4 linked regions of the Mytilus edulis genome follow. The protein of the gene in region 4 purifies or fractionates together with the protein of the main gene of each other region. This does not show direct contact. Links are inferred from orthologs where the notes say so. Each region holds a gene or a part of one and is shown on either strand. Other genes may lie near its edges.

The links.
Region 1: the proteins of COP9 signalosome complex subunit 3-like (region 4) and DDB1- and CUL4-associated factor 11-like purify together in Homo sapiens (affinity purification with mass spectrometry; 3 studies listed by BioGRID and IntAct, counting the BioPlex papers as one, with this or other methods). This does not show direct contact. The link is inferred for Mytilus edulis from reciprocal best matches to the Homo sapiens genes COPS3 and DCAF11.
Region 2: the proteins of COP9 signalosome complex subunit 3-like (region 4) and DNA damage-binding protein 2-like purify together in Homo sapiens (affinity purification with mass spectrometry; 7 studies listed by BioGRID and IntAct, with this or other methods). This does not show direct contact. The link is inferred for Mytilus edulis from reciprocal best matches to the Homo sapiens genes COPS3 and DDB2.
Region 3: the proteins of COP9 signalosome complex subunit 3-like (region 4) and DDB1- and CUL4-associated factor 1-like purify together in Homo sapiens (affinity purification with mass spectrometry; 5 studies listed by BioGRID, with this or other methods). This does not show direct contact. The link is inferred for Mytilus edulis from reciprocal best matches to the Homo sapiens genes COPS3 and DCAF1.

What each region holds. Positions count from the first base shown.
Region 1 is NC_092348.1:88,946,263-88,953,202, reverse strand, and holds the start of DDB1- and CUL4-associated factor 11-like, read right to left. Parts: upstream 3,013-6,940; 5' UTR 2,722-3,012; coding exon 2,453-2,721; intron 1-2,452. Other genes in the region: N-acetylglucosamine-1-phosphodiester alpha-N-acetylglucosaminidase-like, read left to right, coding at 3,160-3,212, 5,494-5,918. UniProt on the Homo sapiens protein: May function as a substrate receptor for CUL4-DDB1 E3 ubiquitin-protein ligase complex.
Region 2 is NC_092356.1:11,910,886-11,918,502, reverse strand, and holds the start of DNA damage-binding protein 2-like, read left to right. Parts: upstream 1-4,600; 5' UTR 4,601-4,725; intron 4,726-7,617. Other genes in the region: triosephosphate isomerase-like, read right to left, coding at 556-688, 1,232-1,316, 2,563-2,686, 4,349-4,463.
Region 3 is NC_092344.1:96,408,368-96,415,428, reverse strand, and holds the start of DDB1- and CUL4-associated factor 1-like, read right to left. Parts: upstream 3,023-7,061; 5' UTR 2,936-3,022; intron 1,603-2,935; 5' UTR 1,569-1,602; coding exon 1,459-1,568; intron 1,075-1,458; coding exon 998-1,074; intron 1-997. UniProt on the Homo sapiens protein: Acts both as a substrate recognition component of E3 ubiquitin-protein ligase complexes and as an atypical serine/threonine-protein kinase, playing key roles in various processes such as cell cycle, telomerase regulation and histone modification.
Region 4 is NC_092352.1:14,420,100-14,427,426, reverse strand, and holds the start of COP9 signalosome complex subunit 3-like, read right to left. Parts: upstream 3,011-7,327; 5' UTR 2,944-3,010; coding exon 2,889-2,943; intron 1-2,888. UniProt on the Homo sapiens protein: Component of the COP9 signalosome complex (CSN), a complex involved in various cellular and developmental processes.

The sequences.
Region 1 (6,940 bases), on a different chromosome or scaffold from region 4:
TATAGCTTGCTGTTTGGTCTGGGTCAAAGCTCCGCCGTACGTACTATGACCTGTATTTGCTATTATCCCTCAGAAGGGCACATATGGGGTCATTTTACTGTTGTAAAAAAGAAACTTGAAGAAATACCAAGGATTTGCATAGTGTTACTATACAAATCCTTTGAAGAACTTAAAAAAATTAACTAAAAGAGAGGAGAAATACATCATATTTAAATAATTTTAAACAACATTACTATATTCTTAAAGAGAATTATTTATGATATTATTTATTTTGAATAATATTAAAGTAAATGTGTTAACATGGCCTAAGTCAAGGAATATTACAAAATTCTTGGGCATGTTTTGACCATTTAATACCAGATAGATATATAGCTCTTTGGGAAAATATGAGCTCTTTTGTACTAAAAAGTTTTATTTACAAAAAATATATTGTAACTTATATTGACCCCTCATAAAAAGGATATTTATAAAATTGAGGGGTTGTTCCCAACCTTATTATGACTTGGATGGAGAATTGTCTCATTAATTGGCACACATATACATGTACATATACCAAATCTAATTATTCAATTATTTATTTGGTGAAATGGGAAAAGTACTTCATAAATTAAAGAAATGTCAAAGTACAAGTGATAAATCAAGTTTTAATATTATCAAAACCTACTATTTTATGTTTACAAAAAAAAAAATCGCTCGCCTTTACTTTTCAAGCTTCGCCTCAAAAATTTGCAAAATAAATATTTTTTTATTAAAATTTTCAAATCGCTCGCTCGCTCGCCCCAATTTTTGGAGTCCAAAAATCTGTAGAACAAGAAATTAAATTGGTGTGGCCTAAATAAATACTGTTAATTCAGAAATTTTCATGTTTTTATTATTGCGACAAAGGGAGTATCGAAATAATTAGATCTTGCATTCAGCAGATACCTGATACATGTAGTCATGTACCTACATGTACATTTACACAAGTAAGCAGATTTTCCTTAAATCACAATAAATAGTCCGACATTTTGGTTCATTCTTTAAAAATCACAATAATAAAATGCACAAATAAATTTCTGAATTAGATATCAAGACTAGACAACTGACATGACTGACATGTCAAAAAGGCCACAGAGACTGACACTGTGTCCTACATACAGAATGTACAAAATGTACAAGCCAATGTTCAAATGTTGACTTTCATAAATTTTGATACCAACAATTATTTGATATATTTTCAATTAATTATAATTTACAATGTATATATATATGTTAAATTTTAAAATCCGAGCATTATAATATTTTGGTTGGCTACTTAAAATGTTGACACAGATCATTTATGGCTGTATATATGGTATTATAATTATGTACATGAAATATAATTTATTTTATGTCATTCTCCAGTTGTTCTCCAATAAGAAGCTGGTTCTCAAAATTTGTGATTTTTTTTATAAGATCTAGAGTAATGATATAAGTTTTTACCATTTTTTTACTTTAAAAGTAAAGCAGATGACATATATGTCAATATTTGTTAATTATCAATAACAAAAAATGCCGAAATTTCGCAAAATATTGCAATAGATATGCATACATGTACAGAAAATGTATCTTCAATTTTTTTTTGTACATTTTAAATTTATGCACACCGATTGTGCAAAATGTCATTTTATTTTTGCTTTTGTCTTTTTATCTCATACATTTAAGTGCATGTTCAATGTCCACATTCTAGTCCACTTCACAGCTATTTAATTTCATGATTTTCTAATTTAGTTAATTTAGTAGATGTACAATGTAATTTTAGGATCTCCTGTAGTTGGTATACCAGTATTATAAAAATTTTGTACCAGTATTGTAACTTTTAATGTACATGTACAGTATCTGGGATCCATGTTTATGTACATGTACATGTACATTTGTACATGCATCTTTAATCCAAGCTTTTCCTACTGTACAATGTAGAAATATTCTACAGTGAATTAGAAGTTGAACCTGACATTGCAATAAGCTTTAATGACTTATTAGTCCTGTTGACTGCCAAAATATTTTGTGCCATACATGTAGCTACAAAATGTTACGTATAGAAAAGTTGTAGAATTTAGAACCAAAAGATATTATTTACATGAACATATTAATACATGTATTAGTTCAAGGAAGAACTGATATTACATGGTAACTGAAATCTGTGCAATGTGAATGACCTACCTTTTTGTAAATGTTTTTTTGTTGCCTCATCTTATTTCGTTCATATTATTCCTAATGATAAAAATTTACCTGTACCGCTCACAAAAACACTCACAAGAAAAACAGCTGTTTCTGCATTCCTTAATTACGACAATGCATAATTAAATAGCTAATTATATATAATTATATTAGCTTTGAATAACTAATCCATTATCATGGTTTTTATTAATGTATACAATAAATATTTTACTAGGTAAAATATCTTGAAGATATGTCTAGTACATGTAGCTACCTGCGTATTAGGTATGCCAGTATTGCTTGTAAATCGTGCTGATCCTCTTCAACGCCAGTTCTAGTTGAAGAGTTTGCTCCCCTGCTTGGTGCAGGACAATCTGATCCACCAGCTCCTCTTGGTGGCGGACAATCTATTCCTCTTGGAGATGGATATTCTGCAGCTCTTGCCGATGGATAATCTGATCCACCTTGAGCTCCCAAAACTTCTGTTTCAGTCTCACTACTTGTGCTCATAGTTCTGCTTCTCCTAGAATTACTCGAACCCATCAACACATTTTGTCTCAAGATCACTATGAAAAGTCTTTGTTACCATATTAAACAGTTTTACTTGGATATAATTCACTATAAACTAACACAATATTTATAAAAAAAATTATGTAAGAAAAACACTATCTATTTTTCCTTGCTAATTTTTGACAATTGATTAATTGCTGCAGCCATTAAAAGCATAAGTTTTAGTAAAAATAATAATTTGGATTGATTCCAGCCTGGTGATTCTATGTCACAACAAATCCAAGACAATGACAATGTTCCAGTTGTTGACCAAAGAAATAAAATGTAACCGGAAGCACAACAAACATGTACTTCCGCCTCTCGGAACTAGTTACCTGAACATTCCGAAATGATATGCAGATGACAGAAGTGATCGCTGATGTGGATGCAGGATATTTATTAACACACTATGTGGACGACATGCATTAAGAAATGCAAAAACGATATTATTGTAGTCCTATTTATGTATTTCTATTTATTTTAAGGTACTATGAGGATCAAAATGTGTCGTTTCTGTCTTTTGCAACAATTTTTCGAAAACCCGATTAAAAATCCTATCCTATATTTAAAATTGACACTTTTAACACAGTTCAACAAAGTAAAATAAACTATATGAAAAAAACACCTAAACACCAATAGGTGTTTTGACTACAACCAGACCATGATTTATCTGATTGCAACACGAGCTAATAAAAAAAATGAAGATGTGGTATGATTCATTGATTGTAAATAAGACAACTCTCCACAACAGCTGCTCCACAAGAGACCAAATGACACAGAAATTAACAACTATAGGCCACCATAATAAGCATGATAAGATCTTTAACAATTGAGCAAAGCACATACCACATAGTCAGCTATAAAAGCCCCCAAAATAACAATGTAAAACAAATCAAGCAAGAAAACTAACAGCCTAATATATATATGTTAAAAAAAATGAATGAAAAACAAATATGTAAAACATAATCAAACGGCAACCACTGAATTACAGGCTCCTGACTTGGGACAGGCACATACACAGAGAATGTGGCGGGTTAAACATGTTAGCGGGATCCCAAACCTCCCTCTAACCTGGGATAGTGGTGTAACAGCAGTGTTACAGTACAACATAAGAACCCATGGTTTCTAGTGTCATTATAAATCACTCATACCAAGATCATTCCATGTTCATACATGTACCATCATCATGTTCATCAAACATCTCTGGTGGCATTCTAAAAAAATTAAAGAAGGATTATTAATCCTAACCAAACTGGAGTCTCCTTTCTGTTGATTTCCAAGGACTAACCCAACATGTCCTATGCGCTCTTAAATTTCTTCTTTTTTCGCTCTCTCAATAACAATATCATGGCCTGGTCATTAAGATTTTGTATTGGTGTTAATGATTGTATAAGCATTACTACATGTACATGGTCTTGTGTTTCCCTGGTTAAATTGTAAATGATATTTCAAACAAAACCTGGAGATCTTTTATATATTTTATGTGACAATGAGAATGACTAAAACTCGAAATGGTCATAGTATGAACATAGTCAGGTGGTATGAAGAAGGTGATGTTAGATTAGGTTTGCATGAGCATGCTAGAATCATACTACAGTCTTGAACAGGGTCGTTAATCGTAGTGACTTTAATATGATTAAAAGATCTGCAAAAATTTCAATATTCTTTATGCTTCAAAACAATAAGAATTTCCTTCTCATTTAGTGGAACCAGTATTGCTGCTTACAGCAAGTAAAAGTTTGATGATTAATGAATGGATAACAACTGTGATATTCCTGTATAGAGGCATGTCAAATGGACATTACCAAAAATTGCAGATGCAGATTATGTAATAGTCATATTGGAGGAAAGGACAACATTATAGTGACTAAAACAAATAAACATAAAAATGTAATAAGTCATCTCTTAACAAATTACTATTTCTGTCAACCAAATCATAAATCCATCTTTTAAACTTTTGAATAGATGACTACAGCTTTAATTGGGCACACTTACAGTTTTGATCATGCTGTGACTTTTTCAATGAAAATTTGTACTCAAGTTATTTTTCACTTATTCAAATCAGATATATGTAATAAAAAAAAAATAGCTTCATGTCCTATTTATAGAGATGAGAAAGAAATTTTAGACATTTCCTCAAAATTTCAGATTTGTGGCCATTTCTATCCTTTGTTTCTTACAATGATTTCAAGCTGAATGGCTGATAGTGAAGCCTATGCTTGCTGTAATACTGTAAACCAACTTATTTTTGAGGGTCACAAATAGCCCTTAATTTATCAGTCCATTTCATGATTTTTAAATTTTATTGATGTAGTTAAAAAAGGAAAAAAACATGTTTTACATATTTGCGACGATTTATATTTGTGTTATATTTCTATTCGCCAAAATAGTGAAAATAAGTTGGTTTACAGTAGTGCAAGTGTAATTCAAAGTCCACTAGTCATGCTATTTTTCACAAGCTACACAATTTTTTCCTAAACACAAGAAGAAGCTGGCATTAAAGTGCTACCCTTGAATGACCCTCCCTTGTTCAGTCTGTTCTTCTGTCTGAATAGCAAGTTTAAGCTTGGACATTCCTGTCCTCAGACACATACTTCTTCTTTGTTTTTATCTCCAAATTTATTGGCCCAGAGCCTCTGACAGTCGCCAGCAGCTTAATTAAAGGTTACAGGTCTTGGCATACACTTGTTACAACATTTCATACTAGAAACTACTCTAAAACAATATTTGTATTAGCTTGAGATATTACTTTTTTTTATTTTTCAGTATATTTTTCCAAATACAGTGTCAGTCAGTGGATGAACATGACAATTTAATTCAGAGTTATTTTACTAGCCATCTCTTAAAATACCACGGCCATCGACATACACGAGACTGTCAGCATATTTTATTTGGCAATGTGACAAAGTCCAAACATATGGCACATGGGTATGGCAGTTCTGATATCATTCACCCTATAGCTGAAACTCGCCATGCAATAAAAGCTGTCGGGCAGTTTATTAAACGTGACGCACAGATACATTTTACTGTTGTTAACAACCCAGTGAGGTCTATATCAGTATTAGAACCGGGATACAAAGGAGGATGTGATGACCAGATCAGGTCTACAACACCAAAATCAGCCCAACAAAAGAATTGTTTAATGGCAATCAATGCTGGATTCTTTAATACACATAATGGATCATGTCTAGGTAACCGTTTTATATTTGAATCAGTTTTTGTATTCTCTGAAAGCTTTTTCAGATTCTCTTAAATTTGTAAATTGTGAGAATTTCCTATCATATAACTTTAAGAATTCCCAATAATGTATGATAAATTAATTATCATGATTATAGAAATCAAAGGTTTTGTAAAAGTTTTAAGTAATTTTTCGGTATCAAAATCCCTGATTTGATAATTTACTTTTATACATACATTTGTAGCTGAGGCCAATCTCTGGGTGCTGTATTTTCTCGCTGCTTTGAAGACCTGTTGGTGGCCTTGGACTGTTTACTGCTCTTTGACTTTGGTTGGGTTCTTTTTTCTTGTTCTAATTCCCTGTTTCCATTCTCAAATCTATTATCTTTTCATTGAAATCCATGAAATAATAATAACATATCCATTGGGAAATATACACACCATGAAAAGGAACATCACTTACCAAAAAAGTAAAAATATCAATAGGGAACAACAACAAAAATGGGTCCAATGACCCTGCCTGCCAACAAACATGTTGGAATCAGTCATTGTTGGTCTTATCAATGTCAGATTATAAACATTCATGTTTTCAATAGATGGATTTTGATCCGAGTTGGCACAAAATGGTTGCCATGGCTAAAAATAACACATAAGGGTAAAATGCAAGTTTTATCTATGATTTTGAAAACCATTTCTGAATATAGAAAATCTGTCAGACATCTTCTTATAGGAGTTATTGCCCTTAAATGACTTATTTTACCATTTTATTTCATTTTTGCCTATTTTCTTGAAGACTATATTAGATACAGAGTAGCATTCAAATGCAAAAATGATCAGCAAGACAATTCTACAAGTTAGTCCTTATGGTCGAAATTGTCAGCCAACTACTAATTAGAGTTATTGCCCTTTGATGATGATTTTTACCATTTTTTGTGTTTTTGCCTTATATCTTAAAAATTAGAATTGATAGATAGAAACTTTAATAAGGAAAAATGACCAACAAGACAAAATCTACAATTAAGACAATATGTCTTAT
Region 2 (7,617 bases), on a different chromosome or scaffold from region 4:
TTATTTCCCTTGGCAATCAAGCTGGAGGTGAGGCTGGTTTCAATATAACATAATTTAATTATTTTCCTTTTTTTTTTATATTTACCAAATAACAAGAATGTATCCATATATATAGTACATGGATGCCCTACTTGCACTTTCATTTTTATGTTCAGTGGACCGTGAAATTGGGGTAAAAACTCTAATTTGGAAAATTAGACAGATCATACCATAGGGAACATGTGTACTAAGTTTCAAGCTGATTGGACTTTAATTTCATCAATAACTACCTTGATCAAAAACTTTAACCAGAAGCGATACGAACAGATAAATGGATGGACAAACAAAGGGATGCATAGACCAAAAAAACAAACCATAATGCCCCTAATATGGATAAGTGGACTGAAAATAACATATAACACCGACCATTATTTTTTAGGGAGAATCCTAACCTGATAATTTTAAACATGAGGAATTGAGAACAAGAGAATCAAGAGAATCAAGCAACATATTTTACTATGTAGAAAAAGCATCAATGGACTAAGAATAAGAGAACGTATTGCCAGATATACATACCAACTATTGCCTGCATTTGTCTATACACCACCTCTTCTGTTTTGCCTCCTTCTCTTTCTTCTATTTTTTCACCAATACAAGCTATTACTTTTACACCTTGGCTTAAAGCATATTTTACTTTTTCTCCAATCAGCTGAAATCATAAATCAGTCATCTTTATGTAAACTAAAACAAGAATGTGTCTGTAGACACAAATGCTCCCCGCTCAAACTTACTTTAATGTTAATTCAGAAATTATTGCGTGCATTTATTATTCCGAATTTGTTATTTAAGACTTAAATGCAATTTTAATTTTTGCGATAGGGAGAAAAATCAAGATTTCATAATAATTCATATAAATAATTTCAAATTTGAGTTTTAATTTTTGCAATAATAACTGTCGCATATTTGTAATAATAAAAATATTGCATTAATTTCTGAATTTACAGTACTTAATATATATATTTGAGATAATTTGTTAACACTACTTGACTCTCCGTACAGTGACCTATAGTTGTTAATTTCTGTGTCATTTTGGTCTCATTGGCAATGATACCACATCTTCTTTTTTATATCTTATAAAACCTGTATCATATATTTTTCAATCCTGCCAGTTAGATCCCACTTATTTCCCTCCCCCCCCCCCAAAAAAAAAGTGAAGACATTAAAAAAAGAAGACAGAAGACCATTCACTCACCTGATCGCTTTCTCCAAAAACATTTCTTCTTTCTGAATGACCTAGTATCACCCATTCACATCCAATATCTTTAATCATATTTGCACTAAAATAAACGGATATGTTATAATATATAGGGTTATTGCATGAATATTGGGGAATATTGTCCCAAGTAGAATTTTATATTGCACTAGTACAATAAATCTTTTTATTGTATAGCAATGTAATATTTCCCACAGAAAGTAACCAAAAGTTAGCGTGCAATAAATTCCAATATTGCACTAGTGCAATAAATCTTCAAAATTCATGACGTCATCAACGACAAAATCTCAGTTTACACCAGTTTTTACTTTCAAATATTATATTGCTATACAATAAAATTGTTATTGCATGAATATTGGGGAATATTGTCCCTCATAGAACATATATTGCACTCGCAAGCTCGTGCAATATAAAATTCTACTAGGGACAATATTCCCCTAATATTCATGCAATACGTAACCAATTTAATATTTGAAAGTAAAAATTGTTTTAAACTATGATTTTGTTGTTGATCATGTTGATGACGTCATGAATTTTGAAGACAATATATTGCACTTGTGCAATATATTGGAATTTATTGCACGCTAACTTTTAGTTACCTTCTGTGGGAAATATTATATTGCTATGCAATAATAACCTTTATTGTTCATCATGTTCATGTCATATAAACAAATTAGAAATGTTTGTGAGAAAAACATATATATATATTGGACTGCGATTGTTGCTATAGGAAAAACATCCCAAAAATTTCTGAATTATATTATAACTGTAAATACAGAAATAATTGCATGGTTTGTATTATTATAATGTGTATCCCAATAACTTGGATTTAAAAATCTGATATATTAAAATATAATGGCTTGCATCTTTGTCCATTCTTAATAAATGCCCATTAGACATGTCAGAGGAAGAAGGTAGAAAACATGACTTTTGTTTTTTTAAACGACAGTGAAAATACGTGAATAATAAGGGAGATAAATCAAATCTTTCCCCATGACAGGCACCAAAGAGAAGCACAGAAATGACAGAGGGGGGATCTGGGACCAAATATCTACACCTATATCTAGGACATTACTTTAACATGTGTAAGGAAGCAAACAATGACTTCAATGGGGGGTTATGGTTTTTTGTCAAGACTCAAATTTTTGTAAAAAGTTTTTCAACGCTATAACATCAAATAACTTTTTTCATAATTAGCATTAGGATTCAGAAATTTTTCATTGTTTTTTCCCTATCTGCTTGATTAAATTTTGGAACAGCATATTTTTTAGTTAATGGTCATTCCCTAACTTATTGAGCAATATTAACACCTTATATCCCCAGTAAAGGCTCCTTTTTCTACTTTGTAACAGTTCTGTCCAGCAACTCCTATCTTTTGGTCAAGTTTCCCTCGTACATACTCCATGTAAATGGCTGGAGGAGAAACTACAACCTCTGAAAAGGAATTAAAAATATTAAATATTGTGAAAGAAAATATACATGGAGGGTGTACAAATTTTTCACTGAATTAAATTTTTGTGAGAAAAATATCTTGTCACATGGTCTGTTGGTACATTTTTTTTTAAGTGTTCTTGTTTTCAAGAAGGTTGTGTTTAATCCTGGCCTGGTCAAATTAAAGTTGAAAATTTGAATAAAAAAGTTCCCTCTTATAAGCATATGGCAACGTTCTGGTCAGCTCAAAGTCAGAATAAAATTTTGGATAGTGTGACATAAAATTGAGAATGGAAATGAGGAATGTGCCAAAGAGACAACAACTCGACCATAGAAAAAAAAACAACAGCAGAAGGTCACCAACAGGTCTTCAATGTAGCGAGAAATTCCCGCACCCGGAGGCGTCCTTCAGCTGGCCCCTAAACAAAGATATACTAGTTCAGTGATAATGAACGCCATACTAATTTCCAAATTGTACATGTCCACACTATTAAATAGTGAAATAGAATAATGGCAATTTAGCTCAGTGTGTCCCTCAACATACTCAAGAACCCAGTTTCTCACTAAGGCCAAAAAAAATAATACATGTGATTCCGCTGACCCTACCTACCCTAACATTTTTTATGCCATTTTGGAATAAGCACAGTAAAAGCCAGACTGTTTCCCTAGTAGTAACCAGATGTATATGGTTTTAATTTGTAAATAATAATTACTGTACTTTAATGCTGGTTTTGATAATTGAGGAGGGAAGGCCTCATGATTTTACAAGCAAGAGTCATTTTACACTCAAGAAGAGTCCTACTCTGTATTGAAAGAAGAAGAACAAAAAATGTTTGTAAAATAAAATGATATTACCTACCTACCCTATTTTATTTCAGCACGTTAGCGGAAACAAAAGTCACGTGTAAAGAAAAAATCTCTGTGTAGTTATATTGGACATGTATCTATTTTTAAAAAATGACTGAACTTAATTATTTGTGGTGATTAGGAAAGTAGAGGAACATAGAATAAATGTTTAAAAACTATGGAGCTATTGAATGTGTTCAAAGTATTAAATTTTCAAAGAACTTATTGTGTTAAAAAGGGGATATTTTACCACAAGGAGCCGCATCACAAAAGGATGTTCAGGGTTTGCTAATTTACGGAAAAAGTAATCTCACTTCGTACCCCGAAAATTTAACCACATATGTGAAAATGTCAAAGCTTCGAAACGAGCTATCATACATGTCCAAGTTTACGATATGGACTGAGCTACAGGAAAAAACGTTACCATTACCGCCTATGTAAAAACAATTAAAGATATTGAGCCATGTACAACAATCACTTCGGTATTTTTTCTCTATGACATCAAAATTTGGGTTTTGGTATAATTTGGCTGTCAGATTATTGGGTTGTCACACTAATGGCAGTCAGAATAATGGCATGTGATCAGGTGATGAACATATTTGATGTGAGCACCTGTCCAACTTTTCAGCAAATTCTTTTGAACAGGTTCAGGACAAATCAAAGTAGATCAAAGTAAGGAGTTAATTTGAAATTTTGGTCAAATGAAAATATTCCCGTCCTCAATGTGCACGAATTTGTACTTGGAACCTAAACAGCAATCCATCATCAGCATCAGTGACCGTCACCCCCCTTTTTTGTTTTCTTGTGGAATTTTATCACCTGTATTTGGATCTAATGGTCCTGCGTTAAGAAACTGTATAATTCCATCAATGCTGGCTTTATTGCCATTCATTTTCCAATTTCCTCCAACAAAAAACTTCCTTTGAGATGCCATGGTTGGTGAAAAGTAAGAACGTTTGACTGTTAGCTCGACCGGCCTTGGAGAATACGACCTTGAAGGAAGTGAACAGGACGATCTTCAGTGCGCTTTGTTAAAGGGAGAGAAATGGTAAAACTTCAAGCATTTTAGAATTCTATCCCATCATGCAATTTCCCGCGAAATTTATATAACCTGGCATGTTTACAATATAATATTTTGGTTAAAGAATAACTGGGAAGATTTGATCATTTCTGTCTTGTAAATCTTCGTTTGGTAGGTTACACGGAATCAAGCTATATTATATATATCTAAATTTTCAGTTTTACCATTGCTTAATTCCAAATTGAATGGTAATTAAAACATGGAAAGGTGTCATGATCATTGAGGGTGGTAAAAGGGGGGGAACAAGTATTGTTATAAGACATAATATCACGTTGGACGTGAAATAATTTCTGTAATGTACGTTGCACAAAAAATAAATACTTTTATTTGAACCTTTTGTGACTGAGTCACTGTCTTCTTGTATATATTAACTCTTTGTTTTACTTGATATTCCCGATTTAGACAGTATACACATTTATGATGTAATTGGTTAACGGCTTTTAAAAAAGTATTTCTTGACGATCCTTGCCAAGTGTTTGAATTTTATTTGAAAAATACCGAGCACGCAAAATAAGACTTTGAAAATCACGATGCACGTAAAATTAAATAAGCAGAACACGTTGAACGAGGCACCCCTCATGCACGACTCAACGACAAATAAAAAAGTAAAAACATGTTGAACGTCAAATAAAATACGGCGATCACGTTGCACGAAAATAACCCTTTACCACCCTCATCATTGGCAAATGTTGTCACATCTCATAGGCGGATCCAAGGGGGGGGGGGGGGGGCAGGCCCCCCCTTTTGTGGGAAAAATTTGGTTGATTATATAGGGAATCATTGAAGCATGACTGGAGCAGGCCCCCCCTTAGGAAAAGTTCTGGATCCGCCACTGCATCTCTTATCATTATGTGTTTAAAGATCAGTTTTTGGCTTACATTTATAAAAAAATAAGACAGTTAGAGTTCAGGCACTTGTTTCTATCCATTGGCAGACCCACTAACAATGTATATTTAACTTGTTTCTATCCATTGGAAGACCCACTATGAACGTAAATATAAGTTGATAGTGGGTCTTCCAATTTATAGAAACAATTAAGTGCCTGTGAGTTAAGAGAAAAATCATGATCAGAAGCAAGGTCAATGTCTATATCTCCTTTTTTCAGGAAACAACATATTTTCTCCTTCTTTTAGCCTTAATTGTTCAGTAGCAAATGAGTAGTTGGGATTCAGTTCCCATCTGGCTGTCTCAGAAACCCAGGTTCGAAGACTTTCAGAAAAGAGCGACCATTTTTAGAAAAGAACCAAAAAGGAAATCAACTTTATTTTGTAACCAAAGGAAATTAGCAAATTGCAAATCATTGAAAACCTTATTCTGTGAGCATGGTGAGAGGACTAAATTTAAAATTCATGTGAAAAATTTCAGGTAGGGTCGGATGCCTATCTAATAGAAAAGAAAAATAGAAAAGAATTTTTTTATTCACTTATTAAGGACCCCTTGGAGGGCATACAGCATTACTGTTACAATCAATAATATCATAAACAATAAAATATTCAATACACAGGCAAAAGATATATAACATGAGTTACTGTAAATTCAGAAATTATTGCGTGCATTTATTATTGCGATATGCCGACCACAGGCAAAAATGCGAGGTTTAATTATTGCGACTTGCCGATTAAAAAAAAAATTTTTTTATGCTGAACATTATTGTAAATCACAGATGTTCACATGTCTTTTCGCAAAGTAAAGCTTTGTTCAAATCTATGCATTTAGTTACCTTCCGTATGTTTTCTGTGATTGAATACACAATTCTTAACTGATGTAACTTGTAAAGGGGATCTAGAAACTAAGATGCATTACTAGAACTTATGTGTTGTGCATGCCGACTTTGGGGATCTAGAAACTTAATTGAACATCGACCACGTGCAGAAGATTAGTGTAGAACGAGGCCCGGCTTGGGTAATTATAGGATATTTTTAACTTCAAAAGAAAATAAATTACAATATTAAAAGTTGATAATCGCAATCACCCGTAGTAAATTTGAACTTGTGCTCAATGAACAATAGTAGCTTGTGCTTTATGAACAATATTATCTTCTGATGATCTTTGTTATTTTGTTATTTATTATTTATTTATTGTAATAAATTGTATTATATAACTTGTTTTTATTTCTAAGTTTCAAAAGGTTTACTTATACTGAAAATACACATGCTCCACTGAACAATTACAAACAATATTAACAAAATAAAATAACATCGTAATTTGTCACTTTATATAATAATCGAACAGCATTCAAAAGTAATTACTAGTACTAGTATCCCATTCATAAAAGTTCCCGGCAATATTGTTCAATCATAAACATATTACAGACACATTACCAATTAAAAGTCGAAGTGTTATAAAAATGTCACCTGGCTTCACTGATTACACAGATTAGCGGAAATAAGTTGTAAAAACATATTACCCTTAAATGCCCCAGGTGAAAGGTTAAACACATCACACCACTGAACAAAGGGAGATAAATCAATCACAAATTGACATTGGAAAAATGAAAGTAAGAATGCGAGGTTTAATTATTGCGATCGTCCGACGCTCGCATTATTCGCATTAATAAAAATCTCGCAATAATTTCTGAATTTACAGTATAAAAAAAAATATAAAATCAAATACTTCAGGAAACACGCAACAAAATAATAGTAATATACTATAATTCAAGTTGACATTGACTAATGTGCTCCAGGTTTAGAAGGGTATTTTCCCATAAAAAGAAATACAAGAAGATAAGTAGTTAGTTCTGACAAATATATATACACATATAGTATCATAGTCCCAGCTAATAATGATGTATTTGTTTTTTAATTAATCTTCTTTTATTCCCATCTAGCCCTTTGTTTTATACGAAATAAAAAATTGAAATTAAACAAGAATATTATAAAGTTTGGCATGGTTTACATGTAAAAAAAAATGTAGCAGGACTTGAAATCTTAGTTCAATATTTTTATAATTCTATTTTCTAAAAAAAAGAAATGACACCGTGTTTTTTTCTTCAAAAATATTTAAATGC
Region 3 (7,061 bases), on a different chromosome or scaffold from region 4:
ATTTCCCATTTAAATACATCATATAAGTTTTAAAATATAAAATGACATATATAGTCATGGCTAAAATTAATATTAATAAATAGGAACTGCTAAAAATAAATTGACAGCTAATCAATTCAAGACAGTCATCATTTCTTAATACATAATTTACAAGCAGTGTAAGGGAGGTAATCAAATATTGTTCTTTAAAATTGATTTGGATTACCTTCCTCAACACTTTGACAAAACAGTGACCTAGATTTTACAGAAAGACTCCTGTTGGCAATTTTTTACCTCTTTGTGTTCCTGTACCACCTATGCATGCATTTATGAAAATTATTTATACCTACAGTCACTTCCAGTTGCGTAGTGGACATCAAAAGTTGCCCATCCCCACCTGATTTTTGCTACTTTTCACGTTTATCTGATTTTGAACTCTTAAACGGTTTTCAAAGTGCCATATTTTCATAAACAGACATCTGAGAAGAGTTTATGAATCATGAACTGCTTGGTTGAAGTCCCTGTTATCATGACAGTTCAGCTTGGGCACTTCAAAAAAAGTATTGAGGGTCATATGGGCCATCAAAGAATGGTTGTCGCCATCACCCCTACAGGCGGTTTTTGGGGCTAAAAGGTTAAGCCATAAACCCCCAAAGTCAATCTTAACCATCCCTTTGTAGTATGGAAACTTGTGGTATAATTTCAGAGAGATTTAACACAAGTTATTGTCTTGAAACTACAAAAATGCTTATTTGGGCCCCTTTTTTGGTCCCTAATTCCTAAACAGTTGGGACCATTTAGTCACCATTACCCCAAAAATCAATTCAAACCTTCCTTTAGTGGTTACAAACCTTGTGTTGACATTTTCTATATGCTTATACTAAAGTTATTATCCGGAAACCATTTTTTCTACAAAATGCTGGAGAAATAGTCCTGTGTGTGATAAATTCATTATACGGTTTCCTCCTGACCCCCTACAGATCATAAAGTTAAATAGAATCCATAGGAGAAAATATACCTGGATGTCTATCATCAAAAGGATCTGGGTCCATCTTGTAAAATTCTTCTGTTTCTCTTTCAATAATATCTGATAACCTGTAATAAATAGGCTTATTGAATAAAGTGTGATTACGTGTTAGTTTTAACAGTTTGATATATACATGTATTTCTTTCAATTATCAGTTGAAATTGATTGTATCATTAAAAGTTACACTTAAATTGTATTTTAGTATAATTCATGCAGGTGCAATGTATCTCAACAAAAAAATGAAACTGGTATGATATAATACAATGAACTTGAATCTTTGCTTCAAGACCTGATCATAACCTTTTTCATCTAAGTACACAACTGTTAGATACACAGTACAAAATGTAAGTCAATCTGATTAGTAGTTGAGAAAAGCGGTATATTCAAAAACTCTTAAGAGCGTTTCTCTGTTTTATTGTATATCTACTCAACATATATTAGGTATTCCTTACTTTGTAAGCATGTTAATGATTTCATTGTTGTCAAGTCTGTTACGATATTCATTTGTAATCCATTCATCCAAAAAACCATTAAATTTAGTCAATGAATCTAGGGCAGCCATATCTCTGTTCTACAACACAATGTATATTTCTAACCTGCAAAAATAAAAACAACATATGTTATATATTGTAGCAGTGCTTCCCATGACATACATATAGATGTATAAACAACAAACATCAAATATCCCTTTGTTGGTAGAATCATATTTTTTAAACCACTCACTCAACATGGGAAGAAAAGTGACAGTTCCCCTAAGCACACAAATGATGTTCACTTAAACAAAACCTCTTGAGAGAAATGCATCCAATTCTAATGTTGTCTATAGATTTCATGATAAAAATGAAATGTATAGCAAGAAGAAATCTGTAGTGAACTAAACAAAAAATTAGTATTACTTTAAACATGACAAAACATTAAAATCAAATGGGTCTTTTCTATGTTTGTCTAAACTTCTGATTACAACAGTAGTATTTGTTAAGCTTAGTCAGTATACACACTGCCTTGTAACACAGTGGTCCTGGGCTTCAAGTCCTGGAGAAGACAAAGATGATTTTGTATGAAGAATCATGCTTCTACTTCGACTTCTACCATTTTGCGGCCACCATCAACAAAACTGATTAATTTGCACTGGCACTTATTTCTGTCAATATGGGGTTTACTAAAAAACTTTTGTACGGGTATGGATAGTAAACGACTTATTGACAGAAACAAGTGCCTGTGTTATTTTGTCACTTTTTGGATACACATGTAAATATTTTAGATAAAATTATGTTAACATTTTTTGTGCTATACAAATGTACATTCTACATGTGTATACAGTGAGGTTAAAAACACCCATGACGGTGGTCTAATCGTCTCATGTAGGTGAGTCTTGAAACTTTCAAGACTACCTGCACTGGAGGTGGTAAGTGGTAGTCTAGTCCCTTATTATTCTTGGATAGAACAATTCTTTCCTCATGGTTCTGCAAGTTGGTAATTGGAAACCGTTGATGTTTAAGTTCCAGGATAATGTCTGGTGGAATGAGCGTGTCTTCTGTATATAGGTTCACCATCCCGTTCGAAATTTTCCGAAATGCTCTCCCTGTTACACATAAGTTACATTGAGGGGTTTTCCCAATCTTTTTACCATTATCATTGAATGTCAACATTTTTTTTTACTTGTTATCAGGTGTCAGTTAAAATACTCGGTCCTAGCTTCAACATATATCTTAATATGAATGTAAAAGTATGGTCAATTTAAAATACTGGTAAAGTGAATTTCACAACAACTTTTAGTTATGTTACAGTAACAGAGAAAGTAAGCATTTCAAAGATTACAAGTATGTACAGCATGTGAATAAGTCGACAGTACAACATTTAGTTTGTCTATATATAATTTTCCTGCTTGTTTCACTGAAAACTGTCTCTTATTTATCATGTTTATGCTACCTAAATAACAAATTTCCCGCAATCTTTTTCGTTCATGCTTTATTTTTTTTTTTGAATACGAAAGTAATAGGAAAAGCCATTCTATCGGTTTTCGGATTTTTACCATAAAAATAATTGTGCATTTGGCGGGAATATTTAAAAGTAAGAAACACCTTTTCGAGTCTTAGTTTCGTGTCCACATGTAATCATATATGTCTCTTCTCTTGTGGGATTTTAATAAAGATTAGATAAAATCTTTATTAATGTAAAGATTGTGTTTGTGTTTTTCCTTTTAGCCTTAGGCTTAACTAGGGACCGCCGATTGATGCACCTTAGAGATTTTTTTCTCGCAGTAATACACCTTATCGCTATTCCCGGCTGACCCGTCCGCTTGAACTTTTGACGTCAACGACAATCACTTTTCCATTGTGGCGTCAGACATTTTGTTTTATGACGTCAAAATTTTACGGGAACCTGTGTGATTTCCAGCAATGGCGGACAAATAGCGATAAGGTGTATACTCGCAGTAATATGGCTAAAAATGACCCGTATTCCTTCGATTTACTTACTGAAGGCCGTACTTTGATCTATAATTAGGGAGCTACCATTTGATTTTTATGGGGGGGTCTAGGATGAAATTTGAAAAAAATAGACAGGACAGGAGTTTTGAGTAAAAAAAAAAAAGGCAGGATGAGACACTTGCCAAAAAAAAAAAAGGCAGATAAACTAAAAAAAAAAAAAAAAAAAAAGCAGGACCGAATAGAGTGAAAAATAAAAAGACAGGACAGAGATTACAACTAAAAAAAAATGCAGGACAAAATTTTTCATCCTAGCATTGATCGGCCAAAAAAAGGGGAGTTCCAACCCCCGGAACCCCTCCCTGGATCCGCCACTGACTTGATCTGCTTTAATATTATCGCTCACTTATTACTCCCAAAGTACCATCAAATCATTTACCAAATTTATTATATGGCAGTGGTTATTTTGTAAACTTATATTTGTTCCGCCTAACAGAAGTTCCAATGGAAACTTTGTTATAAACATTGTCACTCATATTCTATACCTTTTATTCCATTAGGAACATATACTGTAATAATTATTCCTATAGAAATAATATTCCAGAAAAAATAACAAGCTTCTCAATACACTAGAATATATTGATATGGGGTTACTTAAGCAACCAAAAAAGCAAAACATATATATAAGTCAATGTGCTTGTTTTTCGAGATATTAGCCATTGAAATTTTGGCGGGGAAAATATTCTCTCTTTATTTTTTATAGCATTATCATTGACAATTGAAAGTTCTCAAAAAGTATTATTTTTTTTTTACATTAGATGTGTTTTCACTATAATACGAGATTCTGATTGGCTACTCTGCAAGCTCGCGTTATTCTTTAAGCAGTTTCATTACACAATAAAATTTATCATTCATGATGACACGAGGCCCCACAATAAAGTGCACAGGTAAATGAAATAAAACTTGATAAAATTCGTGTTTTTATGCTCTTGCTTAAAAAACGTAATTATAAGCATTGAATGCTTCTTTTTTGCCGTAACTTCATAGGGTTGTAAAAGCGTTGACCGTGCGCACATTTTTAGAATGAAGCGCTTAGCGCTTAAGCGCTTCATACAAAATGCTTCGGTCAACGCTTTTTCACCCCAATGAAGTTACAAAAAGAAGCATTCAATTCTCAAATAACTAAGATTTTATAAGACTTTTACAGATGGCTTATAATAATACATGTAAAAGATCCATAAAAAGAAAAATAGGGGGTCAATGGGCAAATTTTTTAAGGCATTCAAATGGATAAAACCATAGGATATTGAGAATCTGACAAAAATCCCAAAACATGACAACCGTCCGAACATCCAGCTTAAAGAGGCACTAGCTACGAAATCTATGAAAAATCTAATATATTTTTTTGCTCTATCATTAATGAAATACAAATAGTGAAATAATAATTCGGCTTGAGCCGCCAGTATGGTTAAATGTTGTCAAAATAAGCCAATAAACATCGATTATGAATAATTCACTTGCAAGTGAATAATTCGACCTCATTGAATCCGTTTTCATGTGAACTTCAATTTAACTCCTTAGCTTGAGATGGATAACACGTGAATTGTATGTGTAAAGTTTTTTTTAAAGGAAAAGAATGTCAACATTGAAAGTGAAACAAAGGTAAAACATTTGATTGACTGATTCGATCCACAAAACATCATTCTTATACAGATAAAAACGACGAAAACACTATTTCCACTATAATATGAAATCAAATAGACCTAGAATAATTCAACAGCACGAGTTGGTTAATCTTTTCATATCTATATTTATGTTTACTTAGCTTATATGGCCATCGGATTACTTTACTTTAGAGGTCAACTCGATAATTAATTAGATGGCGTCTAAATTAAAATACACACTAAACGAAGCGGGTTTAACAGTCTTAACAGGCGCCAACCTACAACCTAACCTGAATCAGTATTGTAACAATGATGTCTATTTTTTTATTATACGATTGACAGGCATTTTTTTTCACGAAATAGTTTTACGTTTACGCGAATTAACCTGTAATTTACATGCGTTTTGATCCTGAGAATAACTTGAATTTTAAGATTTTTTGTTTAAAATTAATTATATTGATAGATAATTTACTATATAATATAATCAAACAAGTGTTAAATTAAGTTTCTTATTCAAACCTTAAAAAGCACTAAACGTACGTCGTGCGAATAAAAAGGTTTAATTAAAATACAGTTTATCTTTCCAAGAAATGAACATTCTAAGTATTAAAACATATCCTGGATTTAACACAGTATGTTATATTGATTGGAACAATATATAATACAGTCCTCGTTGTGAAAAGACTCTTGGACACAGTTGGTATGTTTTGTGCCTTAAATTGGAACAGTCGTCCACATTCTTTTTGTCGCCTTATTTGAATACTGTTATCTTTCTTTGGTTTGATTTTACAGAGTCAGAAAAAGCACATAGAGACTGCAGCCAAAGCCTCAAAACGAGTATTCTTGCGCCAAAATTTTAGAGATTTTAACCGAACAGTCCGAGAACTTTGACAACAGAGATCCATGGTCCGACCAACAGCGGAGTACGCTTCTGCTCAATGAGACCCATACAAAGTTAATGACTAAACAGACTCGACAAAGTACAAAGGGAGAGCCCGTTATGACTGTAATAACTACAGAGACAAAAGCCCTGAACGTGTCACAAACATGATTCAACTTCTTAACTTGGAATCACTATAGACCATCGCCTATTGATCACGTACAAGGCCATCAATATCATGATTCCCATACCAGAAACCGACAGTACTTTAGTAGAAAGTGACAACCAAACCAGACGTTCAAACAGACAAGTAGAGCTACACCAAAACAGAAGTGTACAAACAATCCTTCTTTTCACGCACTATCCAGAATTGGAACCTTCTGCCACACCATGCAGTCATGTCACTTTAATTATACTATGAAAATAAGTTCAGGATACAGTCAGATTATTAAATTGCCAAATATAACACTTTAACAAAAAACATAGAATAATTGACTATGTAAAAACTTTAAAAAGTGCTTCATATCAGCTTATCCATACCCCACGTTATTTACAGTGGGGACAACAGAGATCTCTATGATGTCTAGATTATTCTCTTATATGTCCACACTACTAGCCTATGGTACACGAATAAAAGAATGTATGTACCAGGAGATAAGCAACCATTTTATTATTGCCAGTATAGGTGATATCGGTGAGCAGATTAAACAAATTTTACTTATGTTTGTTTTTTTTTATTTCGTATGTCCGGCCTATTTGTATTACTTAGTATTTAAAAAAAAAAGCAAAAAACATATGAACAAAGAAAGCAGGCAGGTTGCAGGAAATTAAAAGAGGCGAAAATACCAAAGTGACACTCAAACTGTCAAGTCGAAAATAAACTGAAAACACAGTGGCAAAAACAAATTATCCAATGTTCCCTAAATATTAAGCTCGGAGTTGTTTCACTGCATTTAGAGTATTTGGTAATCATTTATATTTTTGTGTATTTAAATTTTCAAATGATGTTAATATATGTCATGTTAATGTGCACTTTCCTGCAATATTATTGGGGTACTTGTGTTTTGATTTTCACAATTAATCCA
Region 4 (7,327 bases):
ACCGTACATATTGTTTTTCTGTTGTTTTTATAATAAATAAGATTAATAAAGTGTGTTTTAGTGTTGTATATAGATAATTAAATATTTACGACCTTATTTTTTTAAGCTTTAAAGTTAAAATGGCCACAGAATATATACGCATCACGATTGATCGGAAAGTTTGATTTGCAGGTTTTTTTGAAAGCTAGTCTTGTGGAAAAAGTCACCAGATTTTGCTAGTAACCAAGTTTCGATATTTAAAGGTAAGAATTTTTTACTTGCATCTAAATTTAAGAAAATTGATGGCAAATGAATGCCCTGAATATTTTACAATTGACATATACTGTTTTATGTAGTATTTGTGAAGATGTTTCCCAAAAATATGACTAGGAGTGGGTGTACGGTATTACCCTTTGTGATATTTTACATTAAAATGCAAGTAGTCTAATATCGTACACTTCAGTTTTCAGATATATGAAATATCATGTTATAAAATGAAACGTTATATATTACTAACCTTTGCTTTTACCAGTGAACTTTACGCAAAAAATAAACATAAATACAGACACTATCTTCACGTTGTTTTATTTCACCGTGAAATGATGTTACAAAATTTGACCCTGTGTATAGTAATAAGCGGGTGAAGTGGGAAAGGTGAGTAACGATTTCTGTACTTGTCTATCAATTAAAACAGAACTGAAATAAGAGAAGCAAATTAAAAAAAAAAAAGATACAAAGTTAACTGGCATCAACAATATTCGTAGAACGAAATAAATTGTAAAAAAAGAAACCATTCTTTATATTTTTCAGTTATGAATCAACATTCAGTTGTCATATATTTAATGAACAGAGATATTGGTATACATAACAACTACTCCTCCCTAATTGCATGGCAGCTTATGAAACTAGACATGCCAATGTTTCATGAAGTCAAGCAATACTTTGTGGTTGATTGCATTGTACATTAGCTTTCCGATAAAACCATTGGAAATATTGCATTGAATGTTGTTAAAAAATGGTTATCATCATATGAAGTAGGAGAACTACCATTAACTTATTAAGTGCGAAGTTTGGTTCATCATCATCAATTATCAAACTTACCTGTAGGAATACATCCGTATCTTGAAAATTTGAGGACACTTTTAGAAACAACTGATGAGTTTGAATACCAGTCCTGGTCTGACTAAACATACTTTTTCTTTGAGATAATTGTAATTAATAAAATATTTATCAATTTCTTTAACTTTTGTCTTCTCTTTTTTCAGTTATGCCAAAAAAAGGAAAACTCTCCTAAAACGTAAAAGCTATACCACTGAAAGTTTGCAAAAAGCTGTAAATGATGTCAAACACAACAATATGTCACTAAGAAAATCTTCCATGAAATATGGAGTTCCTGTAAAGACTATTCACGATCATATTGCTGCCCTAAAGTAGATAAACCAAGCTATAAGTTAACAACTAGAGGTCAACAAAGTTGATTTAACTTTTTATAAGAAAAAAAACGTTGTATGATCCAATTCCATGCCTGCATTTTTTTTAATTTATAAATAATATGCAATAAAGCTTTTAATTTTATCCATATTCACTGCCGATTGAGTTTTGGAAAAAGTTCTATTTTAAAAAAAAAATTGTAAGGGTTCCACGGAACCCAGTGTCTCGCCTACTTTTGTTGTTAATCGCAGACTCAACAATAATGAGGAAAAACATCAATAAAAATTTCCCTCTCGATACTGTCTTTTGATTGAAAGAAGCTTCCAAGTTTGGTAAAAAAAAATCCAGGATAGTTTATGAATCTAATAAATGTTTTATAAACTTTAACTGCAGACTGTATGTAATGTTAACTGGAAGAAAAACTAAGTCCATTTATAAGTAAAATACGGAAAAAGTGATTATGATCAGAAACAAGCTTTTGTCTAAGTTTGGTAGAAATCCAGGATAGTTTAAGAACATTATAAAAATTTTAAAAATTTAAACCACAGACATGACAGAGTGAATGTTTTGTTTCTGGCAAAAAAACTAAGTCCATTTATAAGTAAAATACGGAAAAGTGGAAATTTTTTTTTTCAAATTTTTCTTCGTGATACTACAAATGTATCTTATGATCATAAACAAGCTTCTGTCCAAGTTTGGTACAAATCAAGGATAGTTTATGAAAGTTATTAAAATTTTAAAAACTTTAACCAGAGTGAATGTAATGTTTCCTCGCAGAAAAACTAAGTCCATTTATAAGTAAAATACGGAAAAAAATGGAATTTTATTTTTACAAAATTTACTTCTGGATACTTTCTTATGATCATAAACAAGCTTCTGTCCAAGTTTGGTAGAAATTCAGTATAGTTTAAGAAAGTTATTAAAATTTCAAAAACTTTAAACACAGAGTGAATATTTGTGGACGCCGCCGCCGCCGATGGAATGTAGGATCGCTTAGTCTCGCTTTTTCGACTAAAGTCGAAGGCTCGACAAAAATCAGGAAAGCTCTTTCCAAAGAGAAACAGTATTTTGAATTATATCGATGTAATATAATTGTACGGAATTACACATCATGGTGTACGAAGATACACGACATGCGTACGTATTTACCCTACTGTGACTTTTCAGTACGATTTAGTCATTCTTGGTATTTTTTGTTGATTGCTAAAGAAAAAGTCATACACGTCTACAATCTACGAATAATCTAGTTACCGGTTTCCTTCTTGAACTTTGTTGTATCAAACAGGGAACCAAATGATATTCATTTAGGACCGAAAGTGTACGGAATTACCCCGGACCCACTCAACAAGACAGAGTAAAATGATGATTTTTTTTCATTTATTTTAGGAGATGGGGTTCAAATGTCATGTAACTGTAAGATTTGTCTACACTAGTTGATTGAATTTAATTTTTAATGCTGAAATAATTATTTCTTATACCTTGGGAAGACAGGTTCTGTACTGTATTGACATACTGCTCTAAGACTGAGGCCATAGTCTGTTATATTTTTCTAGAAGCAGGATTTTTCACCAATGTTCAGTTGTCGCTTACAACAATAAGATAATATCTATTTTTTTCTTAAAAAGCCTTATGACTTGTAAATATACATTTAAAAATAATATCTGAAATTCCAAATTTCAAAATGTTTTTTTTCTACAAACTAAATGAGTGGAAATCATATCAAAATTAATGCATGTCAATTGTTTATGATCTTAAGCGGTAATAAACAAATAGGTCATTAAATAGAACGACAGTCTATGGGACGTTAGATGGTATATATATATTCTATTCTATTCTATTCTATTCTATATACATGTTCATAAAGCAAGTGAAACAATATGAACTATTTAATATACTTAAAATAGGTTGATGTATAAAGGATCTTTCTTCCAAAATAGAACAAACGTCTGACATCTTTATAAACTTAGGAATTTTAATGAAGCTAAAAAACAACTATTTCAAAAAACTTGAAAGCCTGTTTTAATTTGTATAGAGCCTGAGTCTTGAAATCCTCAAGCAACTGCACAAAACACATCTCTGCATTTATTAGATCATTGTGTAACAGGAACAGGTCCCAGTATACTGTGGGGTTCGATTGGGACTAGTCCTGGACCGTGTAGTAAAGTACCTGTCCTGGTAAGTACCTGTCCTGGTTCGTATCTCTCAGATCATCAGATGCTTGTATAGGCTTTGAAAAACAAAGATTTTAAAGCACAACTTTTATTATAACAAATTACAAAATTTAATCAGCTTACAATATCAAACAAGTTATACTTATTTATTTTATTTATCTAACTTTGAAACCAGGATTTGACAATTGACCTACTGGAAGTATCTATAAAGCAAGCACTGGCTACAGTTACATGGAAATGTAACAATAATAAAAATATTATTGTTACATTGGGGACTAAATGCCGGAATGCATGGTTGGATAAGGAACCGATTAATTACCAATGTAACAATAATTATTGAGGCTACGGTTACATTGCGTTATTGTTTCATGAAAAACAGCAATATTCGATGGGACTAGTAATATGTACTAAATAATAAAAGTTGAAGACATTATCTTATATTTACAATACATACAAGTATAACATACAATTTTTGATTTTTTTATAGTACGTCCTCCATGGATTCTGAAATCGGACTAGGCATCTCTTAAACTGAGTTTTACTATGCGTAGTGTTGTGCGTTTGTTTTTTATGCATTGGCTGGAGGTATAGGGGAGGGTTGAGATGTCATAAACATGTTTAACCCCGCTGCAATTTTGCGCCTTTCTCAAGTCAGGTGCCTTTGCATGGCCTTTGTTTGTCTTGTATGATTTTTAATGTTAGTTTCTTGTGTATAATTCAGAGTTTAGTATGACGTCCATTATCACCGAACTCGTATACATATTTGTTTAGGGACCAGCTGAAGGACGCCTCTGACGGGTGTGGGAGTTTCTCACTACATTGAAGACCCATTGGTGACCTTCGGCTGTTGTCTCTCTATGTTCGGGTTGTTGTCGCTTTGATACATTTCCCATTTCCATTCTCAATTTTATACATGTATACAGAAGTTCACAGTGTTAGTTCACAGTCAGCAAACTTTTTGATGTACCAATTTTTGGTAAGTGCGTTGTATAGCGGTATGAAATTTGTGTCTTGATATTGTTTCAGTTTCGTTTCAAACGCATCCCATGCAAGTTTTAAATTTTTCACCCAAACAGAATTGGTAATAGGAATCTCTTCATCTTTTGTTCAAAGTATAATGACAGTAATACGAGTAGGTGTGCAGTTAAATACTTAAAAGTGAACAGTTTTCTCAGCCTGAGTTTTCAACAACAAACCATTGAACTATATTTTTTGCCTTTGGCACTACTAATTTGAAGTAGTATCTTTAAGAACTAACGAAAGCTCCATTTGGAGCTAATGTGTTTAGAGACTACTTATGTCGGTACACCTTTCCTATATTGCCTAGTATCTTTAAGAACATCAAATCCATTAATACCTAAAACTATTTAAACACCATTTGTTGAATAATAATATTTATTATTATAACAAGTATTATTTAGTAGACCTGAATGAATTAAGCAACAAAACTAAATAGAAGATTTAAGTTTAATAAATCTAGCGTACATTGCTGTTTTTCATGTAACAATAATGCAATGTAACCGTAGCCTCAATAATTATTGTTACATTCATAATTAATCGGTTCCTTACCCAACTTTGCATTCCGGCAATTAGTCTCCAATGTAACAATAATATTTTTATTATTGTTACATTTCCATGTAACTGTAGCCAGTGCCATCTATAAAATCGTCCTAACAAAAAGTCATCTAACAAAAAAAAAAGAAAACTCTTTATAGACCACAAAATTGCTCAAGTTTGAATACCAACATAATGGATTGAAACAGTCCTCTCTAATACTAATCTAAGTAAATGGTATCAAAAACTAGAATTGAATACAATTCCATTGGGTAACATACCTGTCGCCTTTAGACATGTACAAAATGTACCAATGAATATAAGGAATATACAGACTTATATGGTAAAAAAAGTATGACCTTTTTAACTTGAATGAACCCTTTACAGTTCATAGGTTTTACTTTGTAAAATACCTAGCTTTTAGGATATGAAATAACTATCTTCCTGAAAGACTTTGAAAATTTTTAACATATCATGCTCTGATTGACTGAAATAATTATCAATATACCAATGAAATTAGGTTACTAAAAGTTTGTGCTTCTGCACAAGCTAAATCCCACTTCTGGTTTGAAGGTAAAATCAGTTGAGTATAAAATGAATAAAAACTTAAAGACTTTAAACAAATGTGAACCTAAAACCTTTGTAACTAATGAAATGAGATAAAACTAAACACAGGTAAGAATTCTGAGAAAATTCTGATAACTTTGAGCCCAGAAACTTAGTTAAATTCACATTTGTTACTAAAACTATATTGATGGTAAAACCACAACTATCACAATTGCATAACCTATTATTCTATAAGGTTGGGGCATTACTGATACTACTCCAAAGAGAAAATCTGGAAAAATAGAGATAATGGATCAGGATTTAAAGATCAAAAAACCAAAAACACATAATTTCTAATTTTTTATTACCTATTTATTTTAATATGATTAACTCAATTTGCTCTAATTGCATTTTTGGGAAATGACATTTGGTCTCAAAGTTTCATTATTTTGCTATTCTGAAGTTGTCTTTTATCCCAATAAATCTTATTATCGTCCTTCCCTACGCCTATATCACCCTGCTCTGTCGCTCAGTAATTCTCGTATCAAGACTTCAAAACGAGACCAGGCATTATCAGCGACGTCACAATGTGAGAGGAGAAGTTATCAGCGACGTCACAATGCGAGAGGAGAAGTTATCAAGCTTGCTTTCGTCAAGCTTAAAACTGTCTTAGGGAGAGGAAAAAATACCATTAATAGAACGATAAACAGATAATCGGATTTTCTACGTATAGATATCGTAAAATATCAGCCGGTCGACACAATGTGAAACTTTTTAGCTCGTTCGCTACGCTCACTCGCCAAAAAGGTTCGCATTGTGGCTCGCTCTGATATTTAACGATATCAATGTGTAGAAAACCCGATAATCTATACAAATATACCAGAGTTTTTTTGTTTTTTTTGTGGGTCTGTTGCTTAGTCTTTTCTTTTCTATGTCATAATTTTAAAGGTAAAGATTGCATGAAATTCAATCAAAACCTTATGGGATTGACTTGATATCAATTCTTCCAAGACTTATCACAACCTTATTGATACACATATTATAGTGTATTGATCATAATATTTTATATATCCTGTCCATGAACATTTCCAGAAATTTAACAATGTAATATATGCTCAGATATTCAAGGCACAAAATGATGTTACACTTGTCATGAAAATTACATAACTTTTGTTAGGTAGATATAGGAAGATGTGGTGTGAGTGCCTATGAGACAACTTTCTATCCAAATAACAGTTTAAAAAAAAGTAAACCATTATAGGTTAATGTACGGCTTTCAACACGGAGCCTTGGCTCACACCGAACAACAAGCTATAAAGGGCATGAATTTTATACCTGTTCTAAGAATATAAATGATGCCATTGTTAAAGTCATCTTTAAAAAAAAAATGGAGTTATCTTCCTTTGTCTAGAATTGCTGTTAAAACATCTACAACCAATGCAATATTAAATTTTTCTTCCAACTGATAAATTAAAGCAATCTTTACCATTCAGTGCTTACAAGCACTTGATTTCTGGGATTTGGTTGTTTTTCTTTTTTTTTACATGGCTTTATCAGTTTGTCATCAACTATAATGCTCCTTTGTATTCTTCCACTTCTCTTTTATCAAGACACACTAACATTTGATGTCTGAATTAATTTGGATA